2 linked regions of the Lepisosteus oculatus genome follow. The protein of the gene in region 1 purifies or fractionates together with the protein of each later gene. This does not show direct contact. Links are inferred from orthologs where the notes say so. Each region holds a gene or a part of one and is shown in the gene's direction. Other genes may lie near its edges. The genes, in order: ccnb2 and pkmyt1.

Evidence for each region.
Region 2: the proteins of ccnb2 (region 1) and pkmyt1 purify together in Homo sapiens (affinity purification with mass spectrometry; 4 studies listed by BioGRID and IntAct, with this or other methods). This does not show direct contact. The link is inferred for Lepisosteus oculatus from reciprocal best matches to the Homo sapiens genes CCNB2 and PKMYT1.

The regions. Positions count from the first base shown.
Region 1 is NC_090700.1:46,453,824-46,464,205, forward strand, and holds the start of ccnb2 (G2/mitotic-specific cyclin-B2), read left to right. Parts: upstream 1-6,092; 5' UTR 6,093-6,207; coding exon 6,208-6,231; intron 6,232-6,543; coding exon 6,544-6,654; intron 6,655-7,449; coding exon 7,450-7,563; intron 7,564-8,230; coding exon 8,231-8,395; intron 8,396-8,600; coding exon 8,601-8,759; intron 8,760-8,853; coding exon 8,854-9,090; intron 9,091-9,200; coding exon 9,201-9,341; intron 9,342-9,588; coding exon 9,589-9,699; intron 9,700-9,852; coding exon 9,853-9,963; 3' UTR 9,964-10,382. Other genes in the region: rnf111 (E3 ubiquitin-protein ligase Arkadia), read left to right, coding at 156-273. UniProt on the Homo sapiens protein: Essential for the control of the cell cycle at the G2/M (mitosis) transition.
Region 2 is NC_090699.1:1,216,141-1,226,909, reverse strand, and holds the start of pkmyt1 (membrane-associated tyrosine- and threonine-specific cdc2-inhibitory kinase), read left to right. Parts: upstream 1-6,563; coding exon 6,564-6,944; intron 6,945-10,769. UniProt on the Homo sapiens protein: Acts as a negative regulator of entry into mitosis (G2 to M transition) by phosphorylation of the CDK1 kinase specifically when CDK1 is complexed to cyclins. Mediates phosphorylation of CDK1 predominantly on 'Thr-14'. Also involved in Golgi fragmentation.

The DNA.
Region 1 (10,382 bases):
TCCAGGATACATTTTAATTTTCCCAATGAGATTTTCTTCCTGTCCATTTGTGGAGAAATTATCAGTGTACCCATAGGGTGATTGGGGACCTATATGGTCAGATGCTGTTGTGGGACTGCACTTCTCATGCGCTTGCTTTCTTCTTGTTCTTTCAGACGTCTTCCCTGTATGCATCTTTTCCACCAACTGTGTGTTGACCAGTGGCTCACCACTAACAAGAAATGTCCAATCTGCAGAGTGGATATAGAGGCCCAGCTGTCTGCTGAAAGTTGATGCTGTTTTCAATTACTTTTTATTTTATCTTTTTTATTTTGTTTTTCTTCAGTACTGCAGTCAACCAAAGATGGCATGAATTACCTGCGTGGGTTCAAATACAAAACAGCATTGAAACCTAGAGTGCCAGCTATGTCCCATAGTACAGATACTGCTAAAAATACATCTTCAGTATAGATTTTAAATTTTATTGTATTTATGAAGCTTTTTTTGTAGCTTTCAATTGTTTTCTTCAGTGTCATTTTATTTTTGCATGGTTCCTTGTAATGCATTTCTTTGCACATGTAATGAAATGGGCTTCACACCCTAAAGACTTGCAGGCAAGAATAGCTGCTCTAGTAAAGTAGCATTTAATTTGATTTTGTTTTGTTTTTTTACACAATGCCTTGCTTTACTGGAATAGAATGTCATTCTCCATTACTAACATTGCAGGATTAATTTAACTGATCATGATATAATTAGTTTATGTATAGAAATTGTGAACAGCTAGTAAAGGAAAAAATGTAAAGCAAAACATTCCTTAATTAGGGAAAAACAAACAGCTGCTGTATAAAAGTCTGTGTACAACATCATGCGGTGTCCATCTAGTGGGAACAATCTGAAAATGCATCACTTATAATTAGGAAATGCATACAGAAGCCTTTTCCTTTCTTCGCTCACCTTTCAATGTTCACCTTCTGCACTTCCTTATTGCATTGGAGAAAAATGAATGTCACTGTATTTTGACTGTTTTTTTCACAGTTAGACCTTTTAAGGCACGTCGTAAACAGTTTTACACACAGTGAAGTGCCCTGTTGAGTGGCGAGGTTGGCCATTGCCAGCAGATTGTACACTTCTGTTTGTATTCACAAGTCTGAATGGACGGACCTTGGGAATTGGCGTTTTGACTTCAAATGTGAAAGGGGTCTGTTGAGCCAGTTTTCCACAGACTGGTGATAAATTGTTAAATGGAACCCTAGTTTGGCCTGTCTCATTCATCTGTCTGTCTGTGTTGGGGGCGGGGGGGGTGGACAAACTGAGCGACACAGCTCCATGGAACGCAGCAGGCCAACAGAGATTGTATTTTTTTAACTGGGTTATTGTTGATTTTTACTTCATCTCTGTAACATTGCAACAAATTCCTTTGCTGCCATGAAGAACTTAACACTAATGGTTTTCCTCAACTAGCTAAATTGCATATACTTGCACATCAATGGTGAAAGACATAAGACAGGAGTCCTGTGAAAGCAAAGTGTCTAGGTAATGTATTTCCGCTCTGATTGCTGAATTTTGAAAATTGTAACATTTTGAATGGAGTGTTGGAATGCAGTACTAATGGCAGGTATCCATGCATTCATAGACTATAATGGCCCTAGGAAGCATTTCCGAGGGATTTATATTAGTTTTAAAAAAATAAAGTTAGGTAACTCTTTCCCCTCTTGTCTTTGTGTCTCTTCAACAATGTTTTGTTCAGTATTTTATACATATTCTGAAACCATACAATCTGAACAACAGGGGAGTCGCACACTGTATTGTACAGGCGCTTGGGCCTTGAAACATGCTGGCTTACAGTCTTTCAGTAGTTTCAATGATGTATGTTTTGTGGGCAAATCTAACATGAATACAATAAATGGTTATTTCAGATGAAACTGTAATTGAGGAAAAAGGTTTTGCAGTTCTAATGTTTTTAAATGTTTCCATTATGCTAATGTGGAGTAAATGGAGTATAGAAACCTTTTTGAATTATCTACACCATTTCATTTTTTGAAGAAATTTGCTCAATCTGGATTACACCTATTTATATAATTTCCAACAGTGCTAATATGATATATAATGGTTATATACTTATAGGTTTTTTGTGGTTTTATGTCCCTTGCCTACTTAATGAAGGTTAAATTCAGTGTTTTCAAGTGGTTCTAATAAGCCCTTGTTTTGCAGATTATCTGTGCTTTGTGTAATAAAGAACTAGGTGGAAAAGGAAACAAGATGCAAATCATATTGTTCTCCCACATTTTGTTAGAGAATATGTTAATCAAAAGCTACTGAAGATACAAATTTGGAATATGAGGCTATCCTATATTGTATCTTATATGCATCCTATACCATGCAGATACCTCAACTGAAGAGCTAATGTACGAAGCACAATGTCATTATTTAGTATTTTGTACTGCTAAAGAGGTTCTTGATTATCTTAAAATGGTAGAAATGTGAATGAATGTACCAATACTAAAGTAGGTGCATAAGAGGTATAGGTCTGTATTGATAATTTTATAGCACTTTTTTTACAGGTTAGTTTTTAAGTAGAAAACAAACTCATTTTTCTAAATTAAAAGTAAAAAAAAAAACATTTAAATATCTTGTAAGAGCTCTTACCATCCTGAAAGATTTGTAACTTTTAACATCTTCAGTAAATTGCTTCATTTAATGACCAACCCTGGTACTTGAGAGCTACAGGATGTTGGCACTTTCATTTCAAGTGATCTGTGAGCATACTTAACTGAGCAAATACAGTGCCCTCAAAATCGTGATCAAAAGGAATTGTTCAGCCCCAAGTGCTTGGAAATCAAGGAGTGCCTGTTCTGAAAAAACTTGTATTCTGGCACTCCAGGACCAGGGTTGGCCACTTTATATATAGTGGTTAGTGTAGCTGGATCTAAATTGTGGTTATACATGACCAAATTATGAACAATGTGAGTTGCTATGTTGCAGAAGATATGGTTGCTGTTGGATCCAGCTAAAGAAACTAAACCAGTTTAAATCGCACAGCTGAAGAAGGCTCCACAGCCGAAACATTGTTCTGCTTTTCTTCTCTTTTAAACTGCAAGGGAACAAGTAGAAGATTATTCCATGCTGAAATTCTGGCCTTAAAGAACGGACCAGTGCTGCAATGCTATAGAAAAACTAAATCTGGAGGAAACTATTACCGGAAAGAAGAAGAAGTAAAATCATGAGAGGGAGTAGTAAAAGTCAGACAGTGTAGGATAAAATAGGGAAATGCAGAACTGAGGTTAGAGGACATTGTTAAAAGATTTTTTAAATTCAGAGAATAATCCTATGCTGCTGAACCAGATTGTCCAGGATGCTTCGAGCGAAAGCTAGAGGAGATAGAGCCAATAAGTAGTAACTAAACAAGCATTACTACAAAGGAGGGAATCCATTCTCCCATGTTTTTCTGCCATTACAGAGGTCTTCTGTTCAAACTATCCTAGAGCGTAAGAAGGTTCAAAGCAGAAGAAGGACTTTCAGCCCACCTACTCATTTGGTAGTGATCTGAGGATCTTTTCCAGCCACTGCCTGAAGAAAGCCAGTTCATGCAATATGGCTTGATAACTTGTTGTGGACTCAAAGCTGTAAAAGTGTCTTGTTCTTCATTTTAAATGCACTTCTGTGTATTTAAAACCTAATGTTTGCTCTGGTTTATGATTCCCTGGAGGTTCTGAAGCCCTGTGTTGAGTTAATGACATTCCCTACCTCTAAGGATTATAAATGAGTCAGCTTTCCTCAGTCTTTTCTATTAACAACAGCATGTTAGTAACTCATTGCTCCGAATTTCACAGATAATACTGAGTCTGTGGCATGCCCAGGATTTGATCCAGGAATTTACCTGCTCACAAACTCTTGACCTTAGCAACTGGGTCGCTTTGCCCACACATTATACCTAATAATCTTCTAAGAATTCCTATAGAATTAAGAATTGGACATAACTAGTATGAAAAGTAACTATATATACTTTGGCTATATTCAAATACTTGTGTGAAACAACTGACCCTGTATAAAAAGAGAAGATGCACTTCTGAGGCCCGTGTTTGGGTCCTTATTCTTATACTCTTTCCTAAGCATTTCTCTAATCCATTTGACACCTTTTTATTTATATCACCAACTAGTTGATGATAGTACTGCTTCTGCAATAGTGATAAATCTACACATTTCCCCATGATACAGTTTATAGGAATGAGTTCACATAAGAGGAGGTGGGGTAGTTAACATACTTCACAGCAAATTGTCAAATTCCAGTTCTGCTTTAATAAGAAAAGCCAAATTCATTGCCCCATGTATTTAAGGGACAATATGGAGAACGATCTATCCCTTTAATTTTACACGCACTGAGATTTAACTGGCCTGAAGCAAAGCTTTGACTCTTAAAGGCAGGTCATTCTCAGGTGTTACAATAATTTAAAAGTGGTTGGGAACTGCAGCCAGACAGTGCCGTAATGTGAAAAAAAACATTATCGTCCATCCATTTTTCACTGTAATTGTTGTTGGTGTGAAACTTAAACATGTAATGTATGCTTTTTCCATCTGTTCGTTTGTATGTCTTTTGCCAATAAATCCAACATGTATCACTCATTTGGTTATAAGGGTCAGTGCCTGAATCTCAGATCAGTCAAAAGCACCTTTAATATATTGCCATTGCATTGCCAGCTGCCATGTCACCCTGCAACTCACAACTAGCAGCCCACTGGAGCTCAGCAGATGTGAGCCTGGCCAGTACCTGGATGGGAGACCTCCTGGGAAAAAGCTAATGTTGCTGCAGGAAGAAGTATTAGTGGGGCCACGAGAGGGCGCTCACTCTGATCTATGTGGGTCCTAATGCCCCAGTATAGCGGTGCCGTCCTTCGGATGAGACGTAAAACTGAGGTCCTTACTCTGTGGTCGTTAAAAATCCCAGGGTGTTTCTCAAAAACGGTAGGGGTGTAACCCTGGCATCTTGACCCTTAATATAACACATTATAATGTATAATATAATAATAACATATTGGCGCTTACCGATCATGGCCTCCTAATAATCCCCATCTATGAATTGGCTTCATCACTCTGTTCTCCTCCCCACTGATAGCTGATGTGTGGTGAGTGTACTGGTGCACTATGGCTGCCATTGCATCATCTTAGTGGGGCTACACATTGGTGGTGGAGAAGGGGAGTTCCCATTACCTGTAAAGCGATTTGAGTGAAGTGTCCAGAAAAGCACTATATAAGTGTAAGCAATTATTATTATTGACCATTGACATGACAGCAGTGTTTTATAATATTGGCTTATGAGACCCATCCGTGGCTCCCTACTACACCTCTTACCTTCACCTCAATACTAATAATAGATAGATACTTTATTGATCCTGTGAGGGAAATTGCAGAATAATAAAATAAATATTATCGATCTGTATAGACGACTGGCGAAATCAACTAAAATCCATCACAGACTGGAACAGCAACCAGAACTCTGCGCCTAGTAAAACGAAACGGACCAAGAAGGCTCTACAGACTACTCGGACACAAGAGGACGAGTAAAGGAACCAGAATACATTACACGAACACTTCCAGAAAACAAGATGTAACAGGGTAGAGGTAATTGTACATAATATAGATGAGTAATTGGGTGATAGACGTAGTGATTATTTCCATAGCCCTTTTTGTTTGCTAAAAAAGAGGCGATTTGCGGAAATCACTCATTGGTTTAATATTTAATATCTTGGTAACACGCATACACATCAATATAAAATTTCGTATATTGTTATCAGGCTACCCAAGAAAAAAAACATCAATTCCCAGAGTGCATTGTGAACTCAATGCTAAACTCCGGGCACAAAAGTTGGCGCATGCTTGATTTTCTATTTTACTTTTACTTAAACGGGGGGGTACTGGTGAATAAAACGGCTGATACATCATAAAACAAAAAAGGAATCATCTGATTTAATTGCGGAGAATATGTTAGGAACATAAACAATTCATTTTTTGGTTGCCGCGGTAACGCATTCAGGCCCCTCGTTTGCCAGCCAATAGAAACCATCCGCCTCGTGAGCTCCTGCCCAATGGGAGCGCGCGGAGCGGTATTTGAATGGTGAAGTGGTGCACAGTCTACAAGCGCAGTGGCGAGTGGAGTGTTTGTGGTGTACATTTGTTGGTCGTCGGCTGTAGCTTCTTTTTTAAAGGCTCTTTTATTTAACGTTTTTCTTCAGAATGGCTTTGGTAAACCGGGGAATTGTAAGTACAATTTATTAGTTCTTTCAGCATTCCACGTTTTCCGGAGAGCCTAGGTCAGCAGCTTGTAATGTCCTTCTTCGTGAAGGAGAAGAAATGAAGCTCTTATCTGTAATATGCAATTAGCCAGCAGTTTAGTTGTCTTGCAGCTTAACTATTAAATGTAAAACTGAGATTGTAACGTACTCATTTTCAGAGGTTTGAGACATAACCCTTATCTAATTAGTTTAGGTTACCTTTAGCGTCGCCTCCGTGCTTTTGTGCGGTGCTGAGTTCTCTACTCCCGGGTTCTGACTTGCTTTTCTTTACGAGCAGCATATCAGGAATGCCGAAAACGCGGTCCCAGTGGGTAAAACTGCAGCTGGGACGAAACGGCCAGTCCTAGGCGAGATCTCCAACTTCTCTACCAGGGGAGGCCCAGTCAAGGTACTGTTGTAGCTGCGCTTTTGGGTTCTGAGCTGGGATCTGTATTTGCCGGAGCGAGTTCAAAACATATTGTAACGCTTACGGCCGACAGGCGCTGTGTAAGAGCAGATGTCACCGCCCTTCCCTGTGATGGCAGGACCACAGCTACTGGGCTGTGGGGGGATCTCTTTAGCTCACGGGGCTGGGTCGCTGCAGAGAGACGCAGGAGTCCCGGGTTCGAGCCTCAGTCGGGATGGGGCCGGCCTAATGCGGCAAGGGCGCCCACCTGAGCCCCCGTTGCGTTACAATATTCACCCCTTCTTCCGAGTGAATTGAAGCTGGGGTGGCCGTTGTCTGGCGGTTTCATCTAGTGTTTAGTTTTAATATGCACCCCTTGATATACAGCTGGGTATCTCAATGGAACAACTCTGAAGTATTTCCCCTAAGGGTATAGAAGCAGTATCTTGTGTATCTGTGCCCTATCCACTGCTGCCCAGTGCTTCTTCCACAGTGTTGTGAGTGTTTGCTCAAGACAGGGGTGCACAGCTGTAGTCCTGAAGGGCCAGATGGCTCAAATGGAAGTGTGTGTGTGGGGGGGGGGGAGGACTCTGTTTAGGTTGGTGCTTTGCCAATTTAGAGCCTTAAGTGTGCTGGGCAGGAGTTGTGATTATTTGGGCTAGATGGGGGTGGGGCAACTGGTTTACTTTTGTTTTGGTGTCGCATTAGGTACCATGAAAATACTCTTGTATTATTGAGCATTATGTTGCTGGTTTTGAAGAGTGCTTTGTTCCAAACCCTCCTTTCTATGAACTGTAGAAAAATGACACCCTGAAGTCCCATGTGGTCAAGCAGTCAAAGCCAGTGAAGCCTAAGCAGCAGGATGAAGTGACTGTGCAGCCCAAACCAGGTCCAGTGGTGCCTGAAGTCCCAGTAAGTGACAGGGTTGTTTAATGTCTTGTGTCACAGAAATGACTGCATTGTACCTTTTACAAGCATCTAGTCCCTTATGGCTACAGGTGGATTAGAAGTGCTGCAAGCTTCTGTTGGGGAAGCTTTTTTTTTTTAAGTGAGTCCACAAACCTGAACCATTGGTATGATTGCAAAACATCCACAGTTGGGGGAGGAATTGACTGAGTGTCACAGGCTACCAATGTGTATGTATTGTAAGCAATACAAGATGTACACAGTTCTCTCTATGATTGAGTGTGATTCACTTGGGCTGATCTGCCAATTTTCCTGAAGAGCTTTGACATGCACTTGCCTGCACTCTGGTGCACAAGGCATATCCCCTGTCATCCTGCCCTTGCAGGAACTGTTGCATGGGTACAAGCCCTGCTGGGTCAGGATATACCTGCATGTAGACCATTGCTGTTTGTCATGAATGGTGAAGTTTTGTAGTGTCTAGTAAATGGTACTAGAAACTCCCTAATAGGAGTTCAAAGTGCCTCATTATTTTGAAACTGGGGGGGGGGGGGATTCTTCAGACAACTCTGTAGTTCTAAGATCAAATATAGCCACTGTGCTGGCTCTGCCTGCTCTTCTTACTGAAAGACTTGCATAGTGCGCTGATGACTGGCTTTAAATAACACACCTTCAGGTTGTTCCTTCTTGCATGGACGTCTCGATGAAAGAGGAAGAGCTGTGCCAGGCTTTTTCTGAGGCTATGTTGGATATAGAAGACATTGATGCCTTGGATGGTGAACATCCCCAGCTGTGTTCTGAATACGTGAAGGACATCTATGTGTACTTAAAGCAAATTGAGGTAAAAATTATAACCTTGTTAATCCTGATTCACAAATTTATTACTGCTGCTTGTTGGCTATTCATCTCATTTTCTTGCTGGATCTGAGAAACTAAGCATGACTGGGCCTTCAGGGAAACTGTGCTTCAGTGACTGGGCATCCTGTATCTAAAGGACCCACAAGTGCCTTTATAAGTTAATCTTTCCTTTTTTTTCTTTACTGCAGCTCCAGCAGGCTATCCGCCCCAGGTATCTTGAGGGCTGTGAGATTAATGAAAGAATGCGGGCCCTCTTGGTTGACTGGCTCATTCAGGTGCACTGCAGGTTTCACCTGCTGCAGGAGACTCTGTACATGACTGTTGCTATTCTTGACCGATTTCTCCAAGTAAGCAGCTTTTTTTTGCTAAGATGGTCAGCCCTTCTAAATTCTAATGTGTTGAGTGAGTATCCTCAAATGTAACCCTTTTTTTCCCCTAAAGGTACAACCTGTCTCCAGGAAAAAGCTTCAGCTGGTTGGCGTTACTGCTATGTTAATTGCTGCCAAGTATGAAGAAATGTACGCCCCAGAGATTGGGGACTTTGTCTACATCACGGATAATGCTTTCTCTAAAGCACAGATCCGGCAAATGGAAATGCTGATCCTGAAAGAGCTGAATTTTGAACTGGGTCGTCCTCTGCCCCTTCACTTCCTAAGGAGGGCATCAAAGGCTGGCAATGTAATTACCTTCCACTTGTCCCTGAAATGCACAAACCTCCTCGGTGCAATGCGTTTCTTCTTTGGCTGTATTTCTCCCTCCTAGTGTGTAACTGCTTTGTCATTTCCAAGGCTGATGCAGAGAAACACACTCTTGCCAAGTACTTCATGGAGCTGACCCTGATGGATTATGACATGGTGCATTACCACCCTTCTGAAGTGGCAGCTGCTGCACTCTTCCTCTCCCAGACTGTGCTGGATGGTAGTAGTTGGGTATGTTTTTGTTAATCTTTTGTATTCGCACTACTATAATATTGGAAATGAAGGTTACTTCCACAAACCCCGAGTGATGTAAGTGCTAGAGTGTGAGATCCTTTCCAATATACATGCTCTGCTTAATCTGTAAAGCAGATATGCAGTGACAAAACTGCATGTTTGATCCTCTGTCACTAACTATGAATGGCTTGTATACACTTCTGGATTCTTGGCAATGCTTAAGAGCGGCAGGTATCTCTTCCAGACCACAACGCAGCGCCATTATGCTGGTTATTCCGAAGAGAATCTCAAGACCATTATGCAGCACCTTGCCAAGAATGTGGTGAGGCTTAACAATGGGCTTACCAAGCACACTGTAAGTTCTGTCCTATCCTTGTCACAAACTAGGATTCTAATGTACTTTCCACTTCATGCTATTGTTACCGTAGACCTAAACTAAGTACATTGTGGGCTTGATACCCGAGGATCTGAACTCCTCCCTGAGCTGGGTTTCTTCTTTCCTGTACAGGCAATCAAGAACAAATATGCCAGCAGCAAGCTGCTGAGGATAAGCACCATTCCACAGCTCCGGTCCTCCACCATCCAGGACATGGCTGCACCCCTGTTGGAGAATTCTTAATACTACTTGTCTTATGGACTTCTGAACTTGTTGCACTTTTTTTAAACTCCAACCTGTGGAAGATTTGTGCTGCTTCAATCTTTAACTTTTTTTTTCCCTACAGGATTTTTAAATTTTATAAGTTGATTTGACTCCCTGCTGTTCCCACCTACCATTTTAGCTTAGGAAATTTTAATCTAGTCTCCTTGAGATGGTTTATTTAATACTTTTATTTAAGCCTTGAATTGGTGTCCTGATGCTTTGAGTGTGGCCTGTGCCTCCTCTTTTCTTTGTCTCCATGAAACAACTTCAGAACCTTAAGGTTAAGCTACAGTGAGGGGAGGAAAATTGGTTAGTCTTGCTCATCTGGTAGCTTCTTTTTTTTTGGGGGGGGGGGGAGGTTAACATTGAGACTAGACTGGTCAGTTTTTCAACAGCCT
Region 2 (10,769 bases), on another chromosome or scaffold:
AGGCCCATCAGGAGGTGTGGAGTCAGGAGAGCTGTGTGAGAGGAGGAGCAGGAGGAGGGCGCAGGGGACAGACAGAGTGGCCCATCAGGAGGTGTGGAGTCAGGAGAGGTGAGGAGAGCTGTGTGAGAGGAGGAGCAGGAGGAGGGCGCAGGGGACAGACAGAGTGGCCCATCAGGAGGTGTGGAGTCAGGAGAGCTGTGTGAGAGGAGGAGCAGGAGGAGGGAGCAGGGGACAGACAGAGAGGCCCATCAGGAGGTGTGGAGTCAGGAGAGCTGTGTGAGAGGAGGAGCAGGAGGAGGGAGCAGGGGACAGACAGAGAGGCCCATCAGGAGGTGTGGAGTCAGGAGAGCTGAGGAGAGCTGTGTGAGAGGAGGAGCAGGAGGAGGGCGCAGGGGACAGACAGAGTGGCCCATCAGGAGGTGTGGAGTCAGGAGAGCTGTGTGAGAGGAGGAGCAGGAGGAGGGAGCAGGGGACAGACAGAGAGGCCCATCAGGAGGTGTGGAGTCAGGAGAGGAGAGGAGAGCTGTGTGAGAGGAGGAGCAGGAGGAGGGAGCAGGGGACAGACAGAGAGGCCCATCAGGAGGTGTGGAGTCAGGAGAGCTGTGTGAGAGGAGGAGCAGGAGGAGGGAGCAGGGGACAGACAGAGTGGCCCTCAGGGAGGTGTGGAGTCAGGAGAGGTGAGGAGAGCTGTGTGTGAGGAGGAGCAGGAGGAGGGAGCAGGGGACAGACAGAGTGGCCCATCAGGAGCTGCTCGGACCACAGAGCTGTCTCTGACGATCACGATGACTTAGCCCTCTGGCATCGCGGCTGCCCGACACAGCTCACAGCGAGCTGTGCCCCCGGCTGCTCGGCCACAGAGCTGTCTCTGACGATCACGATGACTTAGCCCTCTGGCATCGCGGCTGCCCCCCAGCAGGATGGGAAGGACAGCACGTCGCAGGTGAGGACTCGGGGCTCCGAGAGGTCACTCTCGTGGGCCAAGACCTCCGGAGGAAGACGGATAGTAAACTCCATCGTCAGTGGACGCCACGTGGATGAATAAACACGATCGCTGTCGGTATGAACACGCGTGGGGCGGCTGAGGGGCCCCTGGAGCAGGACACTGGGACTGGGGGCGATATTAGGGGGGAGATCCAGACTCCTGCTCGCTCCTCTCCGCAGGGCTGCAGGACAGAACTGGTCCAGTTGGGAATCACGACTCACGCAGACTCACGGGCCGGGCCGGACAGTGGTCAGAGTCCTGAACCCCGTCCGGCAGATGTGTGAGACACACAGACACACTGAGACACACAGGCACACTGAGACACACAGACACACTGAGACACACAGAGACACACAGAGACACACAGAGACACACAGAGACACACAGAGACAGAAACACACAGAAACACTGAGACAGACACTCAGACACAGACACACACTGACACACAGAAACACTGAGACAGACACACAGACACACTGAGACACAGACACACACCGAGACACACAGAAACACAGACACACACCGAGACACACAGAGACACACAGAAACACTCAGACACACACTGACACACTCAGACACTCAGACACACACTGACACACACTGACACACACTGACACTCAGACACTCAGACACTCAGACACTCAGACACACACAGACACACACTGACACACACAGACACTCAGACACTCAGACACTCAGACACTCAGACACACACTGACACACACTGACACACTCAGACACTCGGACACTCGGACACTCGGACACACTCGGACACACTCGGACACACAGGGAGCAGCTGTGCGGGCGGGGACTCGCTATTTCGCTGCTGCTGCGGTAGCAGAAGCGATGACACGGTGGCGGTGTGCGTGGGGAGGCAGTATTTGTCTTCCCCGGGGTACTTGCAGCTGGGATAAGGAGCCTGAGCACAGACACCAGACAGCGCGCCTGTGAATCTCTTCCTCCTGCAGAAGGCGCGGGGGCGGGGTCGACCCTCGCTCCGGGTCAAATCTCTCTTTATGGCAGCAAGGAGGCGGGTCCTGCAGCGCGCCCCTTCCTTATATGGCGGAACGGGGAGGAACCCTGGCGAGGAGGCGCGGCCTGTCCGGCATTGACGACGCGACTGCGTCATGAATATGCATAGAGGGCGGGGACTCGGGGCGGGTTGCGCGGTAACCGGGGGGAAAGTCGCGTGTTTTGGCGCCAGGAGCTGCGGTCGGTCCGGGTGACTGGTGGAGATACTGGGCCACCAGCGGGGTGACTGGTGGAGATACTGGCGGTGTTACCGCGAGTGCTGACTCGCTCCCAGCTCGGACTCTGTTGCACGCCGGAGTCCGGAGTTTCCTGCTCATGTTGACAGAGACGGCAGGTGAGAGATTACTGTGTGTGTGAGTGTGTTACTGTGTGTGTGTGTGTGAGTGTGTGAGTGAGTGTGTGTCGGAGTGTGTGAGTGAGAGATTTCAGAGAGGTTATATCGAGCTGTGTGTGTCAGTGTGTTACTGTGTGTGTGTGAGAGAGAGTGAGTGTGTGAGTGAGAGATTTCAGAGAGGTTATATCGAGCTGTGTGTGTCAGTGTGTGACTGTGTGTGTGTGTCAGTGTGTTACTGTGTTATTGTGTGTGTCGGAGTGTGTGAGTGACATTTCAGAGTGAGGTTATATCGAGCTGTGTGTGTGTCAGTGTGTTACTGTGTGTAGTAGTGTGTGTGTCGTACTGTGTGTGTCAGTAGGGAGAGTCTAAAGCTTTGAAGTCCAAAGAGTTATTAATGCAGAAATAATCCTGCTGGACTCTGAGTCCCCCTGTCCTGTGTCCTGTGTCTCCTGCTGGACTCTGAGTCCCCCTGTCCTGTGTCCTGTGTCTCCTGCTGTGCTCTGAGTCGTCCTGTTCTGTGTCCTGTGTCTCCTGCTGGGCTCCGAGACCCCCTGTCCTGTGTCTCCTGCTGCACTCTGAGTCCCCCTGTCCTGTGTCCTGTGTCTCCTGCTGGACTCTGAGTCCCCCTGTCCTGTGTCCTGTGTCTCCAGGATGGACTCTTGAGTCCCCCTGTCCTGTGTCTCCTGCTGCACTCTGAGTCGCCCTGTCCTGTGTCCTGTGTCTCCTGCTGTGCTCTGAGTCGTCCTGTTCTGTGTCCTGTGTCTCCTGCTGGGCTCCGAGGCCCCCTGTCCTGTGTCTCCTGCTGCACTCTGAGTCCCCCTGTCCTGTGTCCTGTGTCTTCTGCTGGGCTCCGAGTCCCCCTGTCCTGTGTCTCCTGCTGCACTCTGAGTCGCCCTGTTCTGTGTCCTGTGTCTCCTGCTGTGCTCTGAGTCGTCCTGTTCTGTGTCCTGTGTCTCCTGCTGGGCTCCGAGTCCCCCTGTCCTGTGTCTCCTGCTGCACTCTGAGTCCCCCTGTCCTGTGTCCTGTGTCTCCTGCTGGGCTCCGAGTCCCCCTCTCCTGTGTCTCCTGCTGCACTCTGAGTCACCCTGTTCTGTGTCCTGTGTCTCCTGCTGTGCTCTGAGTCCCCCTGTCCTGTGTCCTGTGTCTCCTGCTGGGCTCAGAGTCCCCCTGTCCTGTGTCTCCTGCTGTGCTCTGAGTCACCCTGTTCTGTGTCCTGTGTCTCCTGCTGTGCTCTGAGTCGTCCTGTTCTGTGTCCTGTGTCTCCTGCTGGGCTCCGAGTCCCCCTGTCCTGTGTCTCCTGCTGCACTCTGAGTCCCCCTGTCCTGTGTCCTGTGTCTCCTGCTGGGCTCCGAGTCCCCCTCTCCTGTGTCTCCTGCTGCACTCTGAGTCACCCTGTTCTGTGTCCTGTGTCTCCTGCTGTGCTCTGAGTCCCCCTGTCCTGTGTCCTGTGTCTCCTGCTGGGCTCAGAGTCCCCCTGTCCTGTGTCTCCTGCTGTGCTCTGAGTCACCCTGTTCTGTGTCCTGTGTCTCCTGCTGTGCTCTGAGTCCCCCTGTCCTGTGTCCTGTGTCTCCTGCTGGGCTCAGAGTCCCCCTGTCCTGTGTCTCCTGCTGCACTCTGAGTCGCCCTGTTCTGTGTCCTGTGTCTCCTGCTGTGCTCTGAGTCGTCCTGTTCTGTGTCCTGTGTCTCCTGCTGGGCTCCGAGTCCCCCTGTCCTGTGTCTCCTGCTGCACTCTGAGTCCCCCTGTCCTGTGTCCTGTGTCTCCTGCTGGACTCTGAGTCCCCCTGTCCTGTGTCCTGTGTCTCCTGCTGGACTCTGAGTCCCCCTGTCCTGTGTCCTGTGTCTCCAGGATGGACTCTTGAGTCCCCCTGTCCTGTGTCTCCTGCTGCACTCTGAGTCGCCCTGTTCTGTGTCCTGTGTCTCCTGCTGTGCTCTGAGTCGTCCTGTTCTGTGTCCTGTGTCTCCTGCTGGGCTCCGAGTCCCCCTGTCCTGTGTCTCCTGCTGCACTCTGAGTCCCCCTGTCCTGTGTCCTGTGTCTCCTGCTGGGCTCCGAGTCCCCCTCTCCTGTGTCTCCTGCTGCACTCTGAGTCACCCTGTTCTGTGTCCTGTGTCTCCTGCTGTGCTCTGAGTCCCCCTGTCCTGTGTCCTGTGTCTCCTGCTGGGCTCAGAGTCCCCCTGTCCTGTGTCTCCTGCTGTGCTCTGAGTCACCCTGTTCTGTGTCCTGTGTCTCCTGCTGTGCTCTGAGTCCCCCTGTCCTGTGTCCTGTGTCTCCTGCTGGGCTCAGAGTCCCCCTGTCCTGTGTCTCCTGCTGTGCTCTGAGTCGCCCTGTTCTGTGTCCTGTGTCTCCTGCTGTGCTCCTAGTCCCCCTGTCCTGTGTCTCCTGATGGACTCTGTGCTGTACACTGTCAGCTGGAAATTAGCTCATTTACAGAGGAGACCTCTGGCTCAGTGTGCCTGGATGGGTAGAGAGACTGCAGACCCTGCGCTGTGAGCTGTGACTTGTCCTCTGTCTCCGCAGGAGGCCTGGAGGCCCAGATGTCTGCTGTTCACTGTGAAGTCTCTCCCATCAGCCCTGCCAGAGTCTCTCTCCCATCAGCCTCCCTCCTCTGTCATAGTGTTATTATAGACTCTGTAATGCCTCTTGGCTGTATATATCAGGAATTTTGCGAACCTATGGAACAATACAGCTCTCTAGACCCCTGTATACTGCTGTAGAGACCTGCTCTATAAACACCTGAAGAACCGGAGTCTGCAGTCAGTCTGTCCCTCGCCTGCGCAGTCCCTGCAGTCAGTCTGTCCTGCCCTCGCCTGCGCAGTCCCTGCAGTCAGTCTGTCCTGCCCTCGCCTGCGCAGTCCCTTCAGTCAGTCTGTCCCTCGCCTGCGCAGTCCCTGCAGTCAGTCTGTCCTGCCCTCACCTGCGCAGTCCTGCAGTCAGTCTGTCCTGCCCTCACCTGCGCAGTCCCTGCAGTCAGTCTGTCCTGCCCTCACCTGCGCAGTCCCTGCAGTCAGTCTGTCCTGCCCTCGCCTGCGCAGTCCCTTCAGTCAGTCTGTCCCTCGCCTGCGCAGTCCCTGCAGTCAGTCTGTCCTGCCCTCACCTGCGCAGTCCTGCAGTCAGTCTGTCCTGCCCTCACCTGCGCAGTCCCTGCAGTCAGTCTGTCCTGCCCTCACCTGCGCAGTCCCTGCAGTCAGTCTGTCCTGCCCTCACCTGCGCAGTCCCTGCAGTCAGTCTGTCCTGCCCTCGCCTGCGCAGTCCCTTCAGTCAGTCTGTCCCTCGCCTGCGCAGTCCCTGCAGTCAGTCTGTCCTGCCCTCACCTGCGCAGTCCCTGCAGTCAGTCTGTCCTTCCCTCGCCTGCGCAGTCCCTGCAGTCAGTCTGTCCTGCCCTCGCCTGCGCAGTCCCTGCAGTCCTGTTGCTCGCCCCTGTGTCCTCGCCTGCGCAGTCCCTTCAGTCAGTCTGTCCTGCCCTCACCTGCGCAGTCCCTTCAGTCAGTCTGTCCCTCGCCTGCGCAGTCCCTGCAGTCAGTCTGTCCCTCGCCTGCGCAGTCCCTGCAGTCAGTCTGTCCTGCCCTCACCTGCGCAGTCCCTGCAGTCAGTCTGTCCTTCCCTCGCCTGCGCAGTCCCTGCAGTCAGTCTGTCCTGCCCTCACCTGCGCAGTCCCTGCAGTCAGTCTGTCCTGCCCTCGCCTGCGCAGTCCCTTCAGTCAGTCTGTCCCTCGCCTGCGCAGTCCCTGCAGTCAGTCTGTCCTGCCCTCACCTGCGCAGTCCCTGCAGTCAGTCTGTCCTTCCCTCGCCTGCGCAGTCCCTGCAGTCAGTCTGTCCTTCCCTCGCCTGCGCAGTCCCTGCAGTCAGTCTGTCCTGCCCTCGCCTGCGCAGTCCCTGCAGTCAGTCTGTCCTTCCCTCCCCTGCGCAGTCCCTGCAGTCAGTCTGTCCTGCCCTCCCCTGCGCAGTCCCTGCAGTCAGTCTGTCCCTCGCCTGCGCAGTCCCTGCTGTCAGTCTGTCCCTCGCCTGCGCAGTCCCTGCAGTCCTGTTGCTCGCCCCTGTGTCCTCGCCTGCGCAGTCCCTGCAGTCCTGTTGCTCGCCCCTGTGCCCTCGCCTGCGCAGTCCCTGCAGTCCTGTTGCTCGCCCCTGTGTCCTCGCCTGCGCAGTCCCTGCAGTCCTGTTGCTCGCCCCTGTGTCCTCGCCTGCGCAGTCCCTGCAGTCCTGTTGCTCGCCCCTGTGTCCATGCCGGTCCCGCGGGAGACGCAGCTGTCCTCCCCGCCTCTCCCTGTTCCTGCCTTCTTCAGCCAGGCGGAGCAGAGCTTCTCCCTGAAGAAGAGGCGCCCGCAGCCAGACTCCTCCTCCTCCTCCTCTTCCCCTCCGCCCCTGTCCCGCTCCCTGCCCCCCCGGCCCCCCTGCAAGGGCGCCCCCCCCCTCAGCCGGGTGTTCCCCCAGCGGGTGCCCTCCTGGAGCCACCCCCGCCCCCGGCCGGTGTCCCTGGCCCTGCTGCCCCCCCGCCAGCTGCCCTCCTCCCAGTACAACCCCAGCAGCCCCCAGTCCTACTTCCAGCAGTGCTTCTCCTGCCTGGGCCTGCTGGGCAGGGGCTCCTTCGGGGAGGTGTTCAAGGTGAGGGGGTACAGCCCTGAGGGGGTCAGAGGGGAGGTGTTCAAGGTGAGGGGGTACAGTCCTGAGGGGGTCAGAGGGGAGGTGTTCAAGGTGAGGGGGTTCAGTCCTGAGGGGGTCAGAGGGGAGGTGTTCAAGGTGAGGGGGTACAGTCCTGAGGGGCTCCTTCGGGGAGGTGTTCAAGGTGAGGGGGTACAGTCCTGAGGGGGTCAGAGGGGAGGTGTTCAAGGTGAGGGGGTACAGTCCTGAGGGGGTACAGTCCTGAGGGGGTCAGAGGGGAGGTGTTCAAGGTGAAGGGGGTACAGTCCTGAGGGGGTCAGAGGGGAGGTGTTCAAGGTGAGGGGGTACAGTCCTGAGGGGGTACAGTCCTGAGGGGGTCAGAGGGGAGGTGTTCAAGGTGAGGGGGTCAGAGGGGAGGTGTTCAAGGTGAGGGGGTACAGTCCTGAGGGGGTCAGAGGGGAGGTGTTCAAGGTGAGGGGGTACAGTCCTGAGGGGTACAGTCCTGAGGGGGTCAGAGGGGAGGTGTTCAAGGTGAGGGGGTACAGTCCTGAGGGGGTCAGAGGGGAGGTGTTCAAGGTGAGGGGGTACAGTCCTGAGGGGGTCAGAGGGGAGGTGTTCAAGGTGAGGGGGTACAGTCCTGAGGGGGTCAGAGGGGAGGTGTTCAAGGTGAGAGGGGGTACAGTCCTGAGGGGGTCAGAGGGGAGGTGTTCAAGGTGAGGGGGTACAGTCCTGAGGGGGTCAGAGGTGAGGTGTTCAAGGTGAGGGGGTACAGTCCTGAGGGGGTCAGAGGGGAGGTGTTCAAGGTGAGGGGGTACAGTCCTGAGGGGGTCAGAGGGGAGGTGTTCAAGGTGAGGGGGTACAGTCCTGAGGGGGTCAGAGGGGAGGTGTTCAAGGTGAGGGGGTACAGTCCTGAGGGGGTCAGAGGGGAGGTGTTCAAGGTGAGGGGGTACAGTCCTGAGGGGGTCAGAGGGGAGGTGTTCAAGGTGAGGGGGTACAGCCCTGAGGGGGTACAGTCCTGAGGGGGTCAGAGGGGAGGTGTTCAAGGTGAGGGGGTACAGTCCTGAGGGGGTCAGAGGGGAGGTGTTCAAGGTGAGAGGGGGTACAGTCCTGAGGGGCTCCTTCGGGGAGGTGTTCAAGGTGAGGGGGTACAGTCCTGAGGGGGTCAGAGGGGAGGTGTTCAAGGTGAGGGGGTACAGTCCTGAGGGGGTCAGAGGGGAGGTGTTCAAGGTGAGAGGGGGTACAGTCCTGAGGGGGTCAGAGGGGAGGTGTTCAAGGTGAGAGGGGGTACAGTCCTGAGGGGGTCAGAGGGGAGGTGTTCAAGGTGAGGGGGTACAGTCCTGAGGGGGTCAGAGGGGAGGTGTTCAAGGTGAGGGGGTACAGTCCTGAGGGGGTCAGAGGGGAGGTGTTCAAGGTGAGAGGGGGTACAGTCCTGAGGGGGTCAGAGCGGAGGTGTTCAAGGTGAGGGGGTACAGTCCTGAGGGGGTACAGTCCTGAGGGGGTCAGAGGGGAGGTGTTCAAGGTGAGGGGGTACAGTCCTGAGGGGGTCAGAGGGGAGGTGTTCAAGGTGAGGGGGTACAGTACTGAGGGGGTCAGAGGGGAGGTGTTCAAGGTGAGAGGGGGTACAGTCCTGAGGGGCTCCTTCGGGGAGGTGTTCAAGGTGAGGGGGTACAGTCCTGAGGGGGTCAGAGGGGAGGTGTTCAAGGTGAGGGGGTACAGTCCTGAGGGGGTCAGAGGGGAGGTGTTCAAGGTGAGAGGGGGTACAGCACTGAGGGGCTCCTTCGGGGAGGTGTTCAAGGTGAGGGGGTACAGTCCTGAGGGGGTCAGAGGGGAGGTGTTCAAGGTGAGGGGGTACAGTCCTGAGGGGGTCAGAGGGGAGGTGTTCAAGGTGAGGGGGTACAGTCCTGAGGGGGTCAGAGGGGAGGTGTTCAAGGTGAGAGGGGGTACAGTCCTGAGGGGGTCAGAGGGGAGGTGTTCAAGGTGAGGGGGTACAGTCCTGAGGGGCTCCTTCGGGGAGGTGTTCAAGGTGAGGGGGTACAGTCCTGAGGGGGTCAGAGGGGAGGTGTTCAAGGTGAGGGGGTACAGTCCTGAGGGGGTACAGTCCTGAGGGGGTCAGAGGGGAGGTGTTCAAGGTGAGAGGGGGTACAGTCCTGAGGGGGTCAGAGGGGAGGTGTTCAAGGTGAGGGGGTACAGTCCTGAGGGGGTCAGAGGGGAGGTGTTCAAGGTGAGGGGGTACAGTCCTGAGGGGGTCAGAGGGGAGGTGTTCAAGGTGAGGGGGTACAGTCCTGAGGGGGTCAGAGGGGAGGTGTTCAAGGTGAGAGGGGGTACAGCACTGAGGGGCTCCTTCGGGGAGGTGTTCAAGGTGAGGGGGTACAGTCCTGAGGGGGTCAGAGGGGAGGTGTTCAAGGTGAGGGGGTACAGTCCTGAGGGGGTCAGAGGGGAGGTGTTCAAGGTGAGGGGGTACAGTCCTGAGGGGGTCAGAGGGGAGGTGTTCAAGGTGAGAGGGGGTACAGTCCTGAGGGGGTCAGAGGGGAGGTGTTCAAGGTGAGGGGGTACAGTCCTGAGGGGCTCCTTCGGGGAGGTGTTCAAGGTGAGGGGGTACAGTCCTGAGGGGGTCAGAGGGGAGGTGTTCAAGGTGAGGGGGTACAGTCCTGAGGGGGTACAGTCCTGAGGGGGTCAGAGGGGAGGTGTTCAAGGTGAGGGGGTACAGTCCTGAGGGGGTCAGAGGGGAGGTGTTCAAGGTGAGGGGGTTCAGTCCTGAGGGGGTCAGAGGGGAGGTGTTCAAGGTGAGGGGGTTCAGTCCTGAGGGGGTCAGAGGGGAGGTGTTCAAGGTGAGGGGGTACAGTCCTGAGGGGGTCAGAGGGGAGGTGTTCAAGGTGAGGGGGTACAGTCCTGAGGGGGTACAGTCCTGAGGGGGTCAGAGGGGAGGTGTTCAAGGTGAGGGGGTACAGTCCTGAGGGGGTCAGAGGGGAGGTGTTCAAGGTGAGAGGGGGTACAGTCCTGAGGGGCTCCTTCGGGGAGGTGTTCAAGGTGAGGGGGTACAGTCCTGAGGGGGTCAGAGGGGAGGTGTTCAAGGTGAGGGGGTACAGTCCTGAGGGGGTCAGAGGGGAGGTGTTCAAGGTGAGAGGGGGTACAGTCCTGAGGGGGTCAGAGGGGAGGTGTTCAAGGTGAGGGGGTACAGTCCTGAGGGGGTCAGAGGGGAGGTGTTCAAGGTGAGGGGGTACAGTCCTGAGGGGGTCAGAGGGGAGGTGTTCAAGGTGAGGGGGTACAGTCCTGAGGGGGTACAGTCCTGAGGGGGTCAGAGGGGAGGTGTTCAAGGTGAGGGGGTACAGTCCTGAGGGGGTCAGAGGGGAGGTGTTCAAGGTGAGAGGGGGTACAGTCCTGAGGGGGTCAGAGGGGAGGTGTTCAAGGTGAGGGGGTACAGTCCTGAGGGGGTCAGAGGGGAGGTGTTCAAGGTGAGGGGGTACAGTACTGAGGGGGTCAGAGGGGAGGTGTTTAAGGTGAGAGGGGGTACAGTCCTGAGGGGGTCAGAGGGGAGGTGTTCAAGGTGAGGGGGTACAGTCCTGAGGGGGTCAGAGGGGAAGTGTTCAAGGTGAGGGGGTACAGTCCTGAGGGGGTCAGAGGGGAGGTGTTCAAGGTGAGAGGGGGTACAGTCCTGAGGGGGTCAGAGGGGAGGTGTTCAAGGTGAGAGGGGGTACAGTCCTGAGGGGGTCAGAGGGGAGGTGTTCAAGGTGAGAGGGGGTACAGTCCTGAGGGGGTCAGAGGGGAGGTGTTCAAGGTGAGGGGGTACAGTCCTGAGGGGGTCAGAGGGGAGGTGTTCAAGGTGAGGGG